Coturnix japonica: one gene and its partners. The main gene of each other region encodes a partner of the protein of the gene in region 3 in a complex. Links are inferred from orthologs where the notes say so. Each region holds a gene or a part of one and is shown on either strand. Other genes may lie near its edges.

Region 1 (3,516 bases), on a different chromosome or scaffold from region 3:
CTTCCCTGTCTGTCGGTACCTGGAGTTGGTGGCACAGGTGGCCAGTGAAAGGAGGGATGAGGGGCAGAGATCTTTGCATTTATAATTATGTAAAGGTCATTCTTGGATATAAATGCATCCAAAAGAAAAGAGCTGACAGAATATTACCTGAAGTTTGAGACTAACTGGAGCAGAAAAGAAGATCCTGCGTGAGATCTTGCTGATTTCTAATTGCCAGAGCAATCTGCAGTCTTTTGTGAGGTATGTTCCATTGAAAAATTCTGGCAGGGAGAAGACATGTTTTGGCTCTTGATCACTAGACGTTTTAAAAAGGAAAGGGTGGGGGGGAAGGAAGGAGGGAGAAGGCTTGCTCCCTCTTGCTTTAATTTGGCTTGCAAAGCTCCTTTTGCTATTACACCATGAAGTACCATCTGTTGGTGTAAAATGCGTGGGAGCTTTCATGATGTGGAGAGAAAAGAGACTTCCTGCAGGTAGAACCACTTGGAGAAAAAGGGGGGAAGGAAGCTGTGGAATAAGCAACAGGGATACCCACAACTTTCTCTGTTCTTATCTCTCCATCTTTTCACCATGGAAGTCAAACAGTGTTTACATTCTTCCCTCTACTATCTTTATCCCTTGTGTTATTGATTCTGCCCTTCTGGTTTCCTGGTGTTGCGTTATCTGTCTTACCTCTTTTATTTCTTCTTCTAGAAGAGTCGCCCATTTAATTTTTTAGAGAAAGAAACAGATGTCCAGAGTAATTCTCTGGCTCAGATGATCAGGTTTGTTAAATCTCACTGGCAAATGTTTCTTTTGCAGCTGCTATTGCTGAAATTTGCCTGAAGTCCATCTTTGACCTCAGCTGATGAAGATTTCTTGGCTGAGAGGGACAAAGCCACTTGCGCAGACCTATTTGCTAGATATATATATTTTGTACTGACCCTCCTTTCCATGGCATCTGGGTTGGAAACAGAGGGTAGATGAGGAAAGAGGAAGTGATTGATACCTATGAGCAGGTGTCATCTTCACTCTTGTCTCTGGCTTTTTGAAGGAGATGATCTTGCATCTGTGATGGCCTTGGCAAGGTTTGTCGGTAGAAGCACTGTCTTACATTAGAAAGAAGCGTATTCAGATGGTGTGACCAAAAACTTGTTTGATGCTTTTCCCCCACACAAACTTCATCTGTCCTCTACTAAGACCTTTTTAAAAGCTGAGGGTTTTCACTGACTTGCCTAGAGTAGAACCTAGGCTGTTTCTATCCACATGTCCTGGCAGACAGATTCTATGTTAAGGCGCTGTTCTGCTTCCGTGAAGAAGCAGATGACCTTTTTGTTTCTTCTTGACTGGGTGAAAGGTTTAAATACATCCTGACAGGAGGCAGCTCTCTGTGGTGATACTGATGTGGAACAGCCTTCCAGGTGCTGTAGGATCACGTCCATGTCTTCAGCCTAGCGAACACACTGTGAGCTGTACTCCCTTGGGCAGAGCACTTGGGTAATGTGAGCAGGCTGGTAGCATGACCGTATAAGAGCCACACAGCAGGAGGAGAAGCTTGCCTCCCAATGCTGATTTCCCAGGGAGATGAAGTATGCAGCTTTTTTTTCCCTTCCAAAAAGGGTAACAAATGTGGGCGTAGATATCTGGCTGCAAATTCCGTATTTTGTCACATAGTTTGAGGTGTTTACAATCTGTCATCCCCAAATCTGTCTTGCAGGATGAAGCATTTTTATGGTGTTTGATGTGAAAGATGTGTGAAGTCCACGAGAGGCAGAACACCTCACCTGTTAGAAGACCATGGTGCTGATAGTGCTGAAGTGGTTGATCCCATGCTGATTTCACCCCAAGAATGGATGGCAAGGATTGGCATTTAATTAAGAATCAGCACGTTTCAGTTGCTCTATTATTCTGTAGCTTGCAGCATTTGTAAATTGCGGTTGCCTTGCCACACTACAAAGGAGCAAACCAGGTTTTGTGCAGTCCTTGGAGACCGCATTCTAATTTATGTCAGTTCCATGCTAAAACCAGCCTTGGCTGGCATATTTCACCAGGGAAGGTCTTTGCATCAACCTTGCTTTCTGAGACTTCAAGATGAGAGGCTATAACTTGTTTCTGGGATTCAGGGGAATGTCTGCTATCAATCAGATTTCTTTCTTATTTTTTAAACTTCAAATGTGGATGCCTTATTCACATGTGAAGCAGTTGAAGGTTGTCGTAGTATATGTGTAATCAGATCTTTTAGTTCACAGATAGCAACTTTGGTGTAATAACAAGTGGTGAGTGCAGAGGAGTAACTGTGGCCTCCAGTTTGGCAGCCGACCTTCCAGCTGATGGGGATGTAGTGCAGATTTGGCCCATGGCATTTTTCTGTGAATACTTTCAGGGTTGAAACAAGGGATGCCTGAAGACCGCCTGCTTTCTGCTTACTGTCAGACCAATGGAGAGGTGTCACCACTTCTATTCCTTTAAACAAATCAGTTCTGTCTCTTGCTAAATCCTGTCTGCCAGTGCATTAGAGAAAACAGATTTTCTGGTGCCTCAGGCAGCTCAAATCTGCAAAATGAAAGTACCGTAGACAGAATTACTGGGAAAACATGACTGTAGGATGCTGGCAGGGCAGCCAATGGGACTGCTGTGCCTTAGGCATCTGCCTGCCCTGGTTAGGGGCTGATCTTCAGCATAATGCTCCCCACCTGCATTGTAGTGGACCAGTTCATGGCCCAAAGCTTTTTTGATGTTGAAGTCACGATTTGAGGCTGGCTGTCTCTTTCAAGAGGAAAGGCAGCTTCCTTGTCTTCTGCAAAACAGGCTATAGGGGAGCTGGTGGAGTCACTGCCCCTATAGGTGCTCAAGGAAAGGATAGATATAACACTGAATAGTGTGGTATGGTGGTGATGGGTTGATGGCTGGACTAGATGATCTGAGTGGTCTTTCCAGCCTTCATGGATTCTATGACAAAGGCTGTCTCATTGGATGGGCTGCTTTCTGGTAGCTGGTGCTTCAGATAGAGGGGACAGGCTGAACTGCATGCTGTCTTCTTATCCCTCTGGTTCATCTTCAGCCCCTTCCTAATTTGAGAGATTGTAGATATAATGTTAATAAAAATGGTAAGAAATGGATGCTTGGGTCTTGCCCCTCAACCTCTGTTTTCCTTCTTACAGGTCATGGAGGCAGAACAAACCAAGACAAGAAGTGAGTTGGTTCACAAGGAGACCGCAGCCAAATACAATGCTGCCATGGGGAGGATGAAGCAGCTGGAAAAGAAGCTGAAAAGAGCCATCAATAAATCAAAGTAGGTTTCACACTTGGAGATGAGTTTAGTGGTCAAGTCTGTTCATGGGACAGGGGATTCTGTGGGATTTTGGAAACCTGTGAAAAGATGTTGTCCTTTGCAGCACAAATTGTACTAGAGAAGTTTCCTGGGTGTATTCTTAGTTGTGTTTTAGTGCACTGAAATCTTCCGTAATGAGTGACTTGAGAACGAGGCATATGGGATTAAACAGAAGAAAAAACACAACAAAACAAAACCCTGAAGCTGCA
Region 2 (3,516 bases), on a different chromosome or scaffold from region 3:
TTTTTTTATTTTTATTTTTTTTCCAAATCTGGCACCAGTTGCCACAGGAAAAGAGGAAGAGAGGAAATTGAAAGAGAGTGGAGGAAAAACTGAATCAATGGTAGATTGTTAGAGAATAGGAGGGAGTCCTTTGAGGGCCTTGGGTTTATCTTCTCATGCCATTAAGAATGGGGAAATACGGAGGCAGCAGCTTGGTGAAAATAATCTAAGAGCTGTGACAAGGCTGAATGTCCTGATGGTGAATGAGTAGTGAAACTGCAGGTGAAATTCAAAATAAATAAATGAGAAATGATGTATCTGGAAAATAAAATGCAGCTCTAGCAGGCATATGCAGTTTTTTGACTTAGAGTAGGCTACATGATGAAGAAAAAAATGTAGTGTGCTTGTGGATAATTCTCTTGAGGTACTATGTCAGTGCTTAGTGATGGTCAAAGATCCACAAACCCTTAGGACTTGTTAGGAAAGGAATAAATGAAAAAAGAATGATACTGCTTTATAAACATGGAGTAAATATGTGCATCCTGTTTTGCACGCAGCTGTACTTCCATCTCTGAAATAAAACAGTAAAAAATGCAAATAAATGTGATGGGTGATCAAAGTCTTTCTCTGACTAGGGAGAGCCCTAGGGAGACTAGGGCTCTTTATGTTGAGACTTTCTGAAAGCAGGACAAAAATGTATATGATCGCAAGTGACATGGAGAAGATGAATGGTGAGCCAGTAGTAATTATTTCCTGTAATGAGAACACTCTGGAAACTAGAAGGAAAATCATTTTTAGTCAGTATATAACTAAATCTAATAACTAATTGTCACAAAGTGACAACAGGACAGAAAACAGTGTTGAAAATTATGCGAAGTTGCAACAGAAAAGCCCATTGAGGTACATACAAATACACATGATTTCTGGATCAGGAAGCTTATTTAATTACAAATTGCTAGAAGTTGGGAGAACATATAAGGAATGCACATGGCTATATTTCTTCTATGCTGTTTACAGGCAGCCCTCAGTCATTGCAGGTCATTAGAGAGACTGATGAGCTAACTAGACCTGTAATATGATTTACAATGGTCATTTTTATACTTTGTTTTGTCAGTCATCATTAAGTGAATTTATACTATCTGTCTTTTCATTAAAGATCTAGAGAAGGGATTGTTATGTTTCCAGTGATAAAATAAAATCCAACAACCCAAAATCCTGCTTACTTACTTTCAGTGGTATTCAGGATATTTTTCTTATTTAAATTGATCTTCTTGCTCTTCAGAAAGATTTAACAAAAAGGGGAGAACTGGCATGGAATCTAACTACTTTGTAAGCATCATATTGAGGATTTGACTAAATAAAGGTTTTAAATATTGGGCCAAGAGCATGAAGAGGGAAAAATCTGTTTTTGTTTCAATTTCCCATGGAAAGAAAGTGGTCAATGTGTAAAGGATAAACTGCAGGAAATCCATCCCAACAGTACCAACATCCCAGACAGATAGTTCCTATTATGCACGAGTAACCTCAAGGATAAGTGGATGTGTCTAACTAATTCAGAATTCATGAACAGGATTTAGATAAACTGAGCATCTATACCCAATGTAAAAGCTAAATGTGTCAGTTGATTTATGTTATTCTCCCAAAAGCTGAAGTGTTTCTCTGTTGCAGGTAATAAGAACTTGGATCTAGTGGAAGTGCAAGTAAAGACAGAGTGCAGATATACACATAGCACACTGTAGGTTGGAAAGAAGGAACATCAAGCTATAGTTATTGAGCAATTTTTTCAAGGCAGCTTTTTTTTTTTTTTTTTATAAATTGTATATTTGGGTGAAGTTTTGTTAGATGTAGAAAATAATCAGTAATTACTAAGAAATGCATTACCACTTGATTTCTGCTGTCTAGTTCTAAAATAGCGGGTTTTTTTCCTGCTGATGTCTCGTGGTTGTATTTATTTTAAAGCCAAACCTAGGTGGGTTTTAAGGTATAGGAAATGTTCATTCAGGGAGCAAGTTACACCTATTGAGTTTCATTTGTGCAGTGAGGTTGGTGGCTTAGCAACCAGAACAGTTATGGACTAGTTTAATTAAGATGGTTGTTCCTGATTGTACCTGAGTGCAAGACAAGTAGCTCTAATGGAAAACAAATTTGCCTGTCTAATTTTTGTGGGTTCTTTTTCAAGGAGGGAGGGGGAGGGGAAAAAAGCCATAAAAAATCTTCCTGAAATGTAAAAGAATGGTTAAGTGCTGGAAACTCAGAGAAGGGGTGGTAAAGAATAAAAGACCCAAAGAGGCTGGTTCAAAGCAGTGTATTGCTCTTTTAAAATGGATTAAAAAACAGTTTCAGCTCCTAGCGTATGTGTTCATTTTTTCATGCTCCTGTCTGTATTAGTTGCTTCTGATATTCCAAGACTTTCAAGTCACATTGGCTTTATGGAGATACATATTATGAAAGCAGTATTTATATGTCTAGTGTTTTCTTGAAAATGTTTTCTTCCAAAATACCGCTTTTCATTCTTGTTTGCTCTTTTTGCATTCACTTTGCTTCTCTTTGTACTCTGGAGTGGAGCAGCAACCTAAGAAGCCCGCAGAGGGAGCAGCATTAGGATCTGCTTCTCATTTTTCCACTTTAGTAACCTTTTTGTTTGTCTTCTGTGCTTTGGCTGCGCATTTAGTGTTTTTTTTTCTTTATTCTCCATGACTGCCTGCCATTTCTAGAGGCACTTTTTCTACATGACATTTTCTTCCTTTTGTTGCGTGGTCTTTGATGCCTCTAACCTTCCTGGCCTGTGTTTGGCCTGCAGTGTCTTTCCCTTCATTGTATTCCCTTTTGGTTTTAGGAATACAAACCTATTACAATACAAGAATAGGATTTAACAGCCAGTTGGAGTGAAAAGGTGCTGAAGTCTGTGTCAACAATCTCAAAGCCAGTTTGGCTAAATCAAGGTGGTACCACGCATCTTGGGAAAGTGAGTTGAAGGTGTTTGTTGCTGGGATATAATAGTATTCTTCTACAGCGTGGTAGAAAACTGAGTTTTAATGATCACTGTTTACCTGTGGATACCTGTAGATGGCCAGTTGCTAGTGTGATAATTACAGTATTTAAAATCTGCGACTCTGTGTGTTTTAGGCTGACCTGTCTTTGTACAATGAATTCAGATCATGGAAGGATGAGCCTACTATGGACAGAACATGCCCATTCTTGGACAAAATCTATCGGGAAGATATTTTTCCATGTTTAACCTTCTCAAAAAGTGAGGTATGTACTCTTAAGTGTTGTCACTGATGCTTTTTATTTAAATATGTTACATGGAACCAGTAGACTATCTTAATTTACGTATGAAGTTCAAACATTTTTGTTTCACCGGAGTATGAAAGTTTACAGTGAAATACCCAAGTTTGGTCTGGAGTATTGAAGTGATCAGTTTTTCTTTTCCATTTCCTATTTTAGATGTGGCTTTCTTAGGTGGAGGCTGTCTACCTCTTTCTGTGTTAATACTGCCTATCAGAGTAAGTGTTTGTAGGAAGGAGTGATGAGTTT
Region 3 (2,466 bases):
GTCTTTTTTTATTGCTTGTGGTAAAGCAGTTGTGAAAGAAATGTGTTTTGCAAAGATGGTTTATATTTAATTTATAAATACAGAAGGCATCACATTTGAACTTCTTGTGAAAGCTGCTGTGCTTATCATTGCAGAAGTGTGGGAAATCTGGGGAAGCCAAGAATTGCAGAAAGCAAAGATGTTTGCTTTCTGATGTTGCTCTGCATGCACGTAACGATGGGCTCTTTCTCATCTTCCAGAGATCTATCGTATTGTTTCCCAGAAGCAAATGTCCGACAGACGTGAGAATGATATGTCTCCAAGCAACAATGTGGTTCCCATTCATGTCCCTCCAACCACCGAAAACAAACCAAAGATGCAGTGCTGTCAGAATATATAAGAATTGTTCACTCTTTCCTAAAAGGCTGTGTATATTCCCCAGGTCCAAGATTTAAATATATTTGTAATTCTTGTGGTTACTTTCTTGTGTTCTGTTACTGCTTATTCCTTTTGAATTTCTCCATGTCTTAAACACTTTGATTTCTGTGTTTATAATCTATTGCTTCTATGTGGCTGCAGTATTTTCCCAACGCTGACTTGTTGATTTTGGTTCAGTAAATAGTTTGGAGCTGAACTGATCTCTTTGCAGCGTGATGCCCGCTAGTCAGAACACAAGATACATTTAGTGAGCACTCGAAGATGTAATTCTGCTCCTTGCAAAACAATTATTGTCAGGTTAACTAGGAGAATATCTCTGGGCAGGATAATCTGTCTTTGTCTTAAGGTGTTGTATACTGCATCTAAAGCTTGATGGAACGCCTGTTGCTCTGAAGTGCAATTTTAATGTGAAGTTAAATGTCTTTGGCTACATCTTCAGACTGTCAAGAGGAGATCTTGCTATAGAATAGCCTGGGGGAGGAGGGGTTGGGGGGGAGTGAGCAAGAATTTCTCTCAAACAAGCAGCAGGGTTCTTGCTCCCAGTGAATGAGCTTTTGTGGTTTGGCACCTGCTGCAGGGGGCTGCGGTGCAGGCAGGGCTGCTGCAGGCGCTGGTGGGACTCACGTGAGCTGCCTTTGTGAAGCTGTGTGTGTCACTGAGGGTCACGGGAACATGCAGTGTGTGTTTGTGCTGCCTGAGGCTCAGCCTCCACAGTGCCAGTGCTGTCAGGGCTTGAGGATGCCTTTTTTCTTTCATGATACACAGACTTGAAGGATGCTGTCACATATTGCCTATCGCATATCAGTACGTGCCACACACATTAAGGTATTCAGATGCTCAAGTTGATCAGTCAGTAACTGCTACAACCTGGTCTTAGTTTTCAGTTCTCTTTCATCCAGTATTTTTAAATGATACCAGTGGTCTGGTACATGTTCTGTAACAACAAACATCTGGAGTAGTTACTGGATGCATTCATTTGGTGATTATCGCTCAGCCCAACTCATCTGCTCACTTAGTTCAGGGATCCATGAACTGTGCCTTCTGTCGCTGCACTCTGAAACCACTGCGTATCACACAGTACGTGCTATTCCCAGCCGCGCCATTAACGCCGAGATGTGGGGGCTACCAGCACTGCGGTTCTACTGGATTTAAAAGAACTGTCTGTATAAATGCTGGCTGTTATCTGTACAATTAGAGGAAGTAATTGGCTGTAGGGGACGTTTCTCAAACTCTGATATGACCCACTTAGAACATCCGGATTTGGGTAGGCACTACCAGCTGCATTTCTTACCCAACCTTTCTGTCTTGCGGTGCTCATGATGTGTAAGGCACACGGAAGGCATTGCTGTAGTCGGTCACTTTTTTTTTTGTTTTTAAATCCATTTCTCCTCCTAATATTAGTTCTGAAGATGCTACTTTCGATCTGTTTGTAAATTACTTTGTATTTTATGCATGTACTGTAACTTGATTCATTATTTTTTTAGATTGATTTAAAATATATTCATCCATGATTCTAATAAAGAATTACAGGGGACAACTCAGCATGGTGTTGGGTGCGCTTTTTGGGAGAAGTGGGATTTGACTTTAATGTTTTTACTTGTTAGCAACTAGTACCATTTCTTGGAACCGGGAGGACACACCAAAGTGGAAGTACTCCCAGAAGGGGAACTGGAAGGGCTACATGCTGGGACCAGGCCTGCAGCTTTTAGCATGACAATTTGGCTGCTTTGGGCTGCCTTTATGGTGTGAAGAATGAGGACTCTGTCTTACCAAATCCCTGAATAGCTTTTACAAACCTCATTTTTCCACATTACCACCAGTAAAAAAAAATAAATCCTATGGAATGACAGACTGCTGCCTTCTACAACAAACTATTTCAGCTGTTTGATCCTACCTGGTTGCCTTCTGCTGGAGGAGTGGTGCCATAGGAGCCAGCCTGCTGAGCACTGTGAGTTTTGGAAGTCACCTCAAGAGCACGTGGCAGCACTGAATCCTTCTGCCTGAACAGGCCTTTTGGGCCTCGGTATTGCCAGAGTCAAGACAAGGTAT
Region 4 (3,516 bases), on a different chromosome or scaffold from region 3:
GTTCTGGGGGCAGCCACAGGTAGCCCTCCTGTTACATTGCTTTTTCTGCCCTGTGGGACTGTCCTAAGGCTTGTTCATGTACCAGCTGCCCTTGCCTGGTGGGTGTTTTTATCTCAGATTGCCCAGGAAAGGCAGCACTTTGCTCCGGGGTCCGTCCTGTCTCCATGCACCCCTCTCTCCTCTGCTGGCTGCACCGTCTTCCCATGTCCTGCTTTTATTCACAAGGTGACCCTTCTCTGTCCTGTCCTGCTTGGGAGGAACGCTGCCCTCCAAAGTCTTTGCCTTTCCCTTTGCCCTTTTCCAAGCAGGGGGTGGGCACTGCAGAAGTCACAATGCTCCCTCTAAACACACAGACTCCAGCAGCCCCGTGCTCCAGTGCATGGTGTGCAGCAATCCAAGCATTCAGGAGCTGCCCTAAACCTCATCATCTCGCCCTGCCCTTCCCAATTTTTCCTGTGATCAGCAAATCTGTCCTCCTGGAAAGGAAGCGAGGCTTTGATATTAAATTTCCTCCTTCCACTTGTCTCACTTTGGAGACCTTTGTTAAAAACACGGGCAGGAAAGAAGGCAGAAGGGAGCAGGCTGTCCCATGCTTCCTGTATCAGGATCACCTTCTGTCCCCTGCCTGGCAGAGCAGAGGGCAGGATTCAAGTTAACCCCATGGGGAGCCCTGCATGGTAACCACAAAGAAGAGCCAGCTCCTTCAGATCAGCCAAAACTCTTTGTTGCAGGTCGTATAATTACAGCGTAATGTTTGCTTATGGGAAGTAGGTTTTATTTTGGTCAGGGCTCTTTCCATGACTTTTGTTCCCTGTGTTTTGCTTGTGCCAAGAAATCTCTGCTGCTCGGGCCCTGTTGTGCTTGGCACGATTTAAATGACAAATGTGCCCAAGACTTCAGAATCTAAATATGTAGCCAGGGCAAGGAAGCAAAACAAGGCTGGTACTCAGCTGTGGTCTCTTCAGTAAATGCCAGCCACGCTTCATGAATATTTGCATGAGCATATTGTGTAGCAGGGTGAGTTTCAGAGCCCAGATGACATAATCAGTGGATAATTTAGGTTTGAAGAGACCTCTTGCTCTCCTCCTGCTTGAAGCAGCGCTGGTTTCAAAGCCTGGCCAGCCTGTCTGGGTCCCAGAGGGACAGCAGAGATCCATGGGATGGGGGTGGGAGGGCAGGGAAACACCCACTGCCCTTTATAGGGAGGGAAGGGGACTGCCCAAACCGTGGGCATGTGTCACTTAACCTGAGCTGACCCCACTGCTGGCAGACCCTGTGTGTGTGTGTGAGCCCTGCGGGTACCAGGCTCTGACCCCACATTGCAATGGGAACAGCCGTGCTTTGCTCCAGGCAGCATCCTGGGTCCATAGGGCTGCACTACAACAACCAGCTCTGCTGGTGCCACACAGCGATGGAGTTAATTGCAGTGGTGGCACAATTAGCACCAATCAGAGCTGGGCAGTGTCCTTAGGTGCATACAGAGCTGTGACCACCAATGTCGCAAGGCCTGGCTAATGATTAGCTTGCTCTCATCTGTGGCTCAGCTGAGATGGTTGTTTCCCAACAAGCTCAGGGTTCTGTTTCTCTTCCCATCCACTGCCCCCAGCAGTTCACTTTATCAGTGGCAAGGGCAGAGTACTCCGTCCTTTGGTGGATGACACATGTTCTTAAAGAGAGAAAGTGAAAAGCGGGGGCTCTTATCTCCTATTCCAAAGACCGAGTGCAGATGATCGCAGTGTGAAGTCCCTGCAGCATGTGTCCACGTCTGCACGCTGCTGCTGGGGCTCTGGTAAGAGGCTGCCTGATGAGGAGCAGTGCTCTGCCAGCACCAGGGAAGGAGGTGGCAGCTGGGGGGGAGGGAGAGGGGCTGCATCGTGTGGGTGTTGTCAGCTGGAGTCGCTCTGCCTGCCTATGATGGCCCTGATGGTCGCCCTGCTGTGGGTTGGGGTGGCTTTGCTGTGTTACAGACAGCTGCACCAGACCAGCACTTTGTCTGGAGGGGCGATGGAGGAGTCCTACCGGGACACGTTGGAGTGCACAGAAGAGGACATCACGGACAAGGTAGGAGCAAGGCTGTGTGTGCCCAAATGGCACTCATCGGTGGCATGAAGGGCTTTGGGATGGATGGGCCAGGGCTGGGCTGAAGCTTCTCTTACTGCTTTGAATGAGGAGGACATAACCTGGGTGCCCTCTGTCCCTATGCAAAGAGCCCTGTCTCTGGGGTCAGCGTGCCACCTGCTTGCAGGTGACAGCATCTTCATGCTGGTCCTTGTGGGATGGTAAAGCAAGGAGGACCAGGAGGCTGTTGTTGAAGCACCCCTGGTTAAGAATAGCAAGGGGAAAGATGGAAAGTGAAAGATGAGTGAGCTCTGCCTTGAGTAAATGTTTGCTGCAGCCACAAAACTCCTTCAAAATGGCTTTTTTTTAGCTGTGCAGTCAGGAGCAGGGAGCTGTGTGGGAAAGGGAAGTGTATATGTGGCTGTTTGCAGCATCAATTGCCTGCTTCCCCAGCACAGCAGCACGGTGGCTCAGGTTCTGCTGATGTGCTGCTGGCTGCTTTGTTTGTGCATGGTTGTGGATGAGACCCAGCCGGGGTGCTTTGCTCTGGGCATTGCTGTAGCATCTTGTTATGAAGGAATGAAGCAGGGAGGCATGTTTCTACTTGGGACACATGGGAAACCAGGGCACTGTAAAGCATAGGACCTGAGCAAAAGCCTGGCTGCCATCCCCTTGTGGGTGGCTTCTGCTTTGAGGGGGGGTTGGGAGCAATGCTCTGCCTGTTGCTGGGGGTCTGTGCTGAGCTGTGCCTCTCTCCCACCCAGGTGGTCTTTCTGGAGAAGCGGGTGACGGAGCTGGAGAAGGACACGGCTGCCAATGGCGAGCAGCACAGCCGCCTCAAGCAGGAGAACCTGCAGCTGGTGCACAGGTAAAGGAGCTGGCCAGGCTCTCCTGCAGGATCATCAGGTTCCATGGGAGCTTTTTAGGGTCATGGGCAAATGCCCTGGACTCTCTCTGTGCAAATATTCTGCTCAGTTGAATGCAAATACGGAGCTCTGTGGGTATTTCCCTGTGTGCCCACCTCTCTGTGCGGCCCCAGGGGTTGGCTTGGGGGGCTGCAGGTTGGTGTCTCCTGGAGAGCTCTGCTCAGGTGGATGTGCAGCACAGTCTGTGCCTGCTCTGCCCTATCACAGCCCCAGCCCCGATGTTTTCAGCCCCCGCTGCAGCCCTGTGGATCCCACGGTAACTGATGGCTGCCCTCCCCGAGCTGGCAGGCTCCAGCAGCATATTTACACCCGCAGATAAACCCTCCAGGAGTTATCTATAGGGCTGTAAGGCTGTTAAGTAACAGCTGTGTCATGGAACCGAGCGATTCAAACAAAGGTTTCTCTAAGCCCTGATAAACTCTGCAGCGGAGGGGAATGTTTTCACTTTAGCAGCTTGGCCCAGAAGTGTCAGCCGGCTTTTAATCAAGCCTTGTACTCGCTGCTGGTTGAAGAATGGCTTTATCTGAGCCAA
Region 5 (3,992 bases), on a different chromosome or scaffold from region 3:
GGAGCATGCAGACAAATATCCAGCTCACAGTCAAAACTTAAGGGTCATCCAAGTAGTTATTTAAATTGTTAAAGATAACATGAGCTTGGACTCAGCCTGTAAAGGGAAACTAATGACTGTGTGCCGAGCAGTGATCCCCAACCTCACCTGACCTCAGACAATAACTCGCTCAGCGTTATGTGGTGCGGGCAACATCTTACTTTACTCTCCCTAATGGCCTTCAACTTTAACTTTTTAATTTCCTGTAGCTCAGAGCAGCAGGAGAAGGTTTCCCAAGCGTTTGTTGCTCACTAACCCACGAGCCAGGGCTGGGGACGTGTAAGGGGAGGATGATGAGGCTTGGTTCTCTGCTTGCTGTGGGTTACATGATGGGATACAGAGCCTTCAACCCTCACTGCACGCAGGTTTTTGGGTAGCACTGAGGCTGTGTCTGTCACTCTGCTTAATGCTGCATATATATGTGTGCATCGACTCCACAGAAGTGCACACAAGAGAGCTGTTTTCACACCCTCACTTTAATCAAACAGAATGGTCAGGGTGGGGTGGGTAAAAAAACAAGTTCCATAACTTCCACAGGCGGTTTGCACCAGGACAAGGGCCCGAGCTGGACCAGCCCGAAGCGGCCGCGGCCTGTGTACGAGGGGCTCCTTCCCTCGGCGCTCACGGAGACGGGGCGGCGTGGAGAGGCGCAGAGCTCTCCCTCCTATCTACAAAGCTCTGAACGAAGGGAGCCGCTGCGTTCAGGCGGAACTCAGCCTCATGCCTCCCGTTCCCTTCCGCCCCAGCCGGGCACCGCCGCCGGGAGAAAGGGAAGGGGAAAGGAAGGGAAAGGAAAGGAAGGGAAGCACCGCCCGCCCGGCGGCCGCGGGGAGGAGGCGAACCCTGCCCTCTGCCCTCTGACCGCCGCCGCTGCCGCCGCCGGCAGCATGGGGAAGGCGGAAGCGGCGGAGCCGGCCCGTGAGGCCGGGCGGTGCGGGGGGAGCGCGGCGAGAGGCTGAGGAGCGGGAGGGCAGCACGGAGCGGAGCGGGGCGGCGGCGAGCGCGGTCCCCTTCCGCGCTGCCCGCCGCCCTGAGGAGCGTAAGAGGCCGGGAGGCCTGCGGGGCCCGCGCTGCTACGGGGGGCTGCGGCGCGTCGGGCCGGGCGGAGGGGCCGTGGGCCTGGGGATGACCTGGGGGCGGCGGGGAACCGGGCCGGGGGCGGCACGGGGCTGTGCCGGGAAGGGCGGCGGGGCCGGCCGAGAAACCGGGAGCCTTGTAGCGATGGAGTCACCCGCAGGGCTGCCTTGGGAGGGGGAGACCTGAGCGGTGGTCGGTGCCTCCTGAGAGAAGTGCTCACCCGGGGTCGGTGGCAGGTGCCTCCGCTGTAAGTGCCCTTACGCAGTAACTTGAAGACTTAGAGACTTTGTTTTGGTTATTGCTGCTGCGGAGAGCTTCAAAGATGATGCTGGCAGAGCAAGCCCAGAAGTGGTTCCCAACTCACGTGCAAGTCACGGTTCTTCAAGCCAAAGGTCTGAAGCCCAAAGGCAAAAGTGGCACCAACGATGCGTACACCATCATCCAGCTGGGCAAGGAGAAGTACTCCACCTCTGTAGCTGAGAAGACCCTGGATCCGGTCTGGAAGGAAGAGGCCTCCTTCGAGCTGCCTGGATTGCTGATGCAGGAGAACCCAGACAGATACATCCTGTACCTGATTGTCATGCACAGGTCACTGGTGGGGCTGGACAAGTTCCTGGGACAGGTGGCCGTAAATCTGAACGATGTTTTTGAGGACAAGCAAAGAAGGAAAACAGAGTAAGTGATAGTTGTTTCTTTGCTTTAACTGTGGCCTGTTTGCTTTGTACTTTGGAGGAGGGCAGAAATGGAAGTCTTGTTATCAAAGTATTTGGAAATGAAATTGGGACATTTCTATCTTCTATGGTGTTCAAAGCCCCAGGCACATACAGTTGTGTCATTAGGGACTGAGAAGTTCTCTGTAATCACAGCGGTTATTCTGCACAGGGTAGGGCGGTCAATACATGAACATTCTTTGACAGATTATTGTGTACAATGTGAACTCATTGCAATCTGTATTTCTAATGATTTTTTTTCTCCATCCGCTCAAGGCAATATCCCCATTCAACATGTGCCCCAGTTTGAACCATGCGTAAGATTCAGTCTCTCTTGAAGCCTGATGTCCTTCGTCCTAAAAATGCTTTTCATCAACACCTGCATCCAAGTGTCTTTAAATATTCTTTAATTTATGTTTTAGTGGCCACTGAACTGTGACTTATGAAGGCTTGCCACAGCAGTGCAGTGCTTTTCTGATCCTGATTAGTCCTAGGCCGTGATCCTTGCTATATCAGGCCTCTGCGGAGAAGACAGAAGAGAACGTGCTGCTGTTGTAGTAGCCTCCATCATTACATACAGAATCATCACAATTGTCATTTGCCAGCAAATTCTAACACTAGAATTCAAGAAAACAAAAAATAAAAGTATCACAGCAGTGTATTAGGCTGAACGGTAAATGTGTCAAACTGTTATGGGGTTTTTTTTGTGTATGTTTCTCAACTTAACTAGTAAAATGGTTAGCATCTCTGGTGAGGATATGGTTGCACAAAGATATTTGGTACCAGTGTAATTTATCCTTCAAAGTTTGTGGGAATAAACTGTATAGCTGTAAGTGTACTGTTTGTATGCCTGGTACTGTTTGTTGTAGGTAGATGTGGCCCACAGAAGTAGCACAAGAATAGCATGGAGACTTCTAGGCTAGTTGTGTGTAGACACAGGTATTCTGCAGTGGTTAAAAGTTAATGCCCAGGTGTCTTTACTTCTCTCCTCTAGAGGTTAATATCTCATCTGTTGAGTAGAAGGGATCCTGTGCCCAAACCTCAGCTGTTAAAACTGTATAAGTCTGGTATTTCTTGTGTTCGCTGTGGTGGGTTTACGGTAAGATGCTGGACTTTGCATCAAAGTGACTAAGACTCTGGCATCATTTATCTTTTGCTGACTGCGCTGTGCAGGCGTCAACCTCCAGCAGAGTCAGAGCAGACAGTTGGAGACAGCAGTCAGTGCAGCAGTATTAGCCAGATCATGCTGATCAGTGCCTGAAAGCCATCCCAAAACCTGGCTCTGCTTATGTGCGGTGGTGGTTGAGGTTGAAGGAGCACTGAAGGCAGGTCAAAGCAGTCTTTGGATTGCTTTTCTTTTTTTCTTTTTCTTTTTTTCCCCCCCTTTAATTTACTAGCAAAATGATATGTTCACACATATACAAGAGAGCAAAGCATCCTTACAGAGTCTCTTGTGGGTTTGTAGTGTGAACTAATATACTTTTTAATTGCTTATCTTTTTAATGGCAGGCCAACAGCAGTAGTTCTCTTTATGCAATATGTGGTAATGCCTGTAGCTTTAGGCTCTTAATTTCTGTTTACACTGGGTTCAAGAAGTTTCAGTGCTCTTTAGACATGGATCTTAAGTACTCTTTAATCATCAGTTGTAATTATCTTGCAAGTCAGTAGACAACTGCTTTAGGTTAAACACCTTACTGCTCTGCAGGAAAAAGGTGACTGAAGAACATAAAAACGCTACTAAAAGTAAAAACTTAGTCAACGTAGATGAAAATGTCTGTTCACAAGCTGGACGAAAATAAGTAAATTATTCATGTATTACTATGAATAATGTTTTCCTTTGGGAATCATACACTTAGCATCAATTTTACTAAAAGTGTTGCTGGAGTTCTTACAAAACCATCACAAAAAAGGTGTGACTGGCAGAATAGACGCAGTGCTTGTTGCAGTGAAGTAAATATGCAAAGCCTGTCAGTATGTTTTAATAGGAAGTTTTGTTTAGTGTGGTTTCATATGTGTTCTTTATTCTTTCTTTCTCTGAAGTGTGAGAGAAGAGCTCATGCTGCATGAATGTGAAGTGATGCCTCCCCAGGCTGCTACAGAACCTGCTGGGGCTCTCCGAGCTGCCCGTGAGCCATACTGCAGGAGGTTGGGCCCCCTTGGGAGGCT

The links.
Region 1: the proteins of RAB11A (region 3) and SH3BP5 are in contact, whole or in part, in a crystal structure (PDB 6IXV), measured with the Homo sapiens proteins. The link is inferred for Coturnix japonica from reciprocal best matches to the Homo sapiens genes RAB11A and SH3BP5. Residues at the interface, in NP_004654.1 of Homo sapiens: Tyr8, Asp9, Tyr10, Leu11, Lys13, Glu35, Phe36, Asn37, Leu38, Glu39, Ser40, Ser42, Thr43, Ile44, Phe48, Lys58, Gln63, Trp65, Tyr73, Ile76, Ala79, Arg82, Gly83; in NP_004835.2 of Homo sapiens: Asp42, Ile45, Gln46, Leu49, Glu50, Asn53, Thr56, Ile59, Asn60, Glu63, Thr64, Glu67, Lys240, Tyr243, Leu247, Leu250, Glu251, Ile253, Ser254, Asp255, Ile257, His258, Arg261.
Region 2: the proteins of RAB11A (region 3) and RAB3IP are in contact, whole or in part, in a crystal structure (PDB 4UJ5), measured with the Homo sapiens proteins. The link is inferred for Coturnix japonica from reciprocal best matches to the Homo sapiens genes RAB11A and RAB3IP. Residues at the interface, in NP_004654.1 of Homo sapiens: Phe36, Leu38, Glu39, Asp127, Leu128, Arg129, His130, Leu131, Arg132, Ala133, Pro135, Thr136, Leu156; in NP_783322.1 of Homo sapiens: Asn367, Thr368, Leu369, Ser370, Ile371, Glu372, Pro373, Asp412, Arg424, Thr428, Cys431, Asn432, Thr435, Tyr439, Leu444, Val445, Lys446, Gln447, Gln448.
Region 4: the proteins of RAB11A (region 3) and RAB11FIP3 are in contact, whole or in part, in a crystal structure (PDB 2HV8), measured with the Homo sapiens proteins. The link is inferred for Coturnix japonica from reciprocal best matches to the Homo sapiens genes RAB11A and RAB11FIP3. Residues at the interface, in NP_004654.1 of Homo sapiens: Arg33, Ile44, Gly45, Val46, Glu47, Phe48, Ala49, Thr50, Trp65, Arg72, Arg74, Ala75, Ile76, Ala79, Tyr80, Arg82; in NP_055515.1 of Homo sapiens: Asn731, Phe732, Gln735, Ile738, Asp739, Arg740, Ile742, Val743, Met746, Glu747, Pro750, Ser751, Leu753, Glu754, Val755, Lys756.
Region 5: the proteins of RAB11A (region 3) and RAB11FIP2 are in contact, whole or in part, in a crystal structure (PDB 2GZD), measured with the Homo sapiens proteins. The link is inferred for Coturnix japonica from reciprocal best matches to the Homo sapiens genes RAB11A and RAB11FIP2. Residues at the interface, in NP_004654.1 of Homo sapiens: Arg33, Ile44, Gly45, Val46, Glu47, Phe48, Ala49, Thr50, Lys61, Trp65, Arg72, Arg74, Ala75, Ile76, Ala79, Tyr80, Arg82; in NP_055719.1 of Homo sapiens: Glu478, Ile481, Asp482, Asn483, Leu485, Val486, Met489, Glu490, Pro493, Ser494, Leu496, Arg497, Val498.

The regions. Positions count from the first base shown.
Region 1 is NC_029517.1:38,182,604-38,186,119, forward strand, and holds part of SH3BP5 (SH3 domain-binding protein 5), read left to right. Parts: intron 1-3,137; coding exon 3,138-3,268; intron 3,269-3,516. UniProt on the Homo sapiens protein: Functions as a guanine nucleotide exchange factor (GEF) with specificity for RAB11A and RAB25. Inhibits the auto- and transphosphorylation activity of BTK. Plays a negative regulatory role in BTK-related cytoplasmic signaling in B-cells.
Region 2 is NC_029516.1:32,272,507-32,276,022, forward strand, and holds part of RAB3IP (rab-3A-interacting protein), read left to right. Parts: intron 1-3,105; coding exon 3,106-3,234; intron 3,235-3,516. UniProt on the Homo sapiens protein: Guanine nucleotide exchange factor (GEF) which may activate RAB8A and RAB8B. Promotes the exchange of GDP to GTP, converting inactive GDP-bound Rab proteins into their active GTP-bound form.
Region 3 is NC_029525.1:16,462,706-16,465,171, forward strand, and holds the end of RAB11A (ras-related protein Rab-11A), read left to right. Parts: intron 1-239; coding exon 240-379; 3' UTR 380-1,958; downstream 1,959-2,466. UniProt on the Homo sapiens protein: The small GTPases Rab are key regulators of intracellular membrane trafficking, from the formation of transport vesicles to their fusion with membranes.
Region 4 is NC_029529.1:11,456,096-11,459,611, forward strand, and holds part of RAB11FIP3 (rab11 family-interacting protein 3), read left to right. Parts: intron 1-1,967; coding exon 1,968-2,061; intron 2,062-2,822; coding exon 2,823-2,926; intron 2,927-3,516. UniProt on the Homo sapiens protein: Downstream effector molecule for Rab11 GTPase which is involved in endocytic trafficking, cytokinesis and intracellular ciliogenesis by participating in membrane delivery. Recruited by Rab11 to endosomes where it links Rab11 to dynein motor complex.
Region 5 is NC_029521.1:26,301,614-26,305,605, reverse strand, and holds the start of RAB11FIP2 (rab11 family-interacting protein 2), read left to right. Parts: upstream 1-1,181; 5' UTR 1,182-1,438; coding exon 1,439-1,791; intron 1,792-3,992. UniProt on the Homo sapiens protein: A Rab11 effector binding preferentially phosphatidylinositol 3,4,5-trisphosphate (PtdInsP3) and phosphatidic acid (PA) and acting in the regulation of the transport of vesicles from the endosomal recycling compartment (ERC) to the plasma membrane.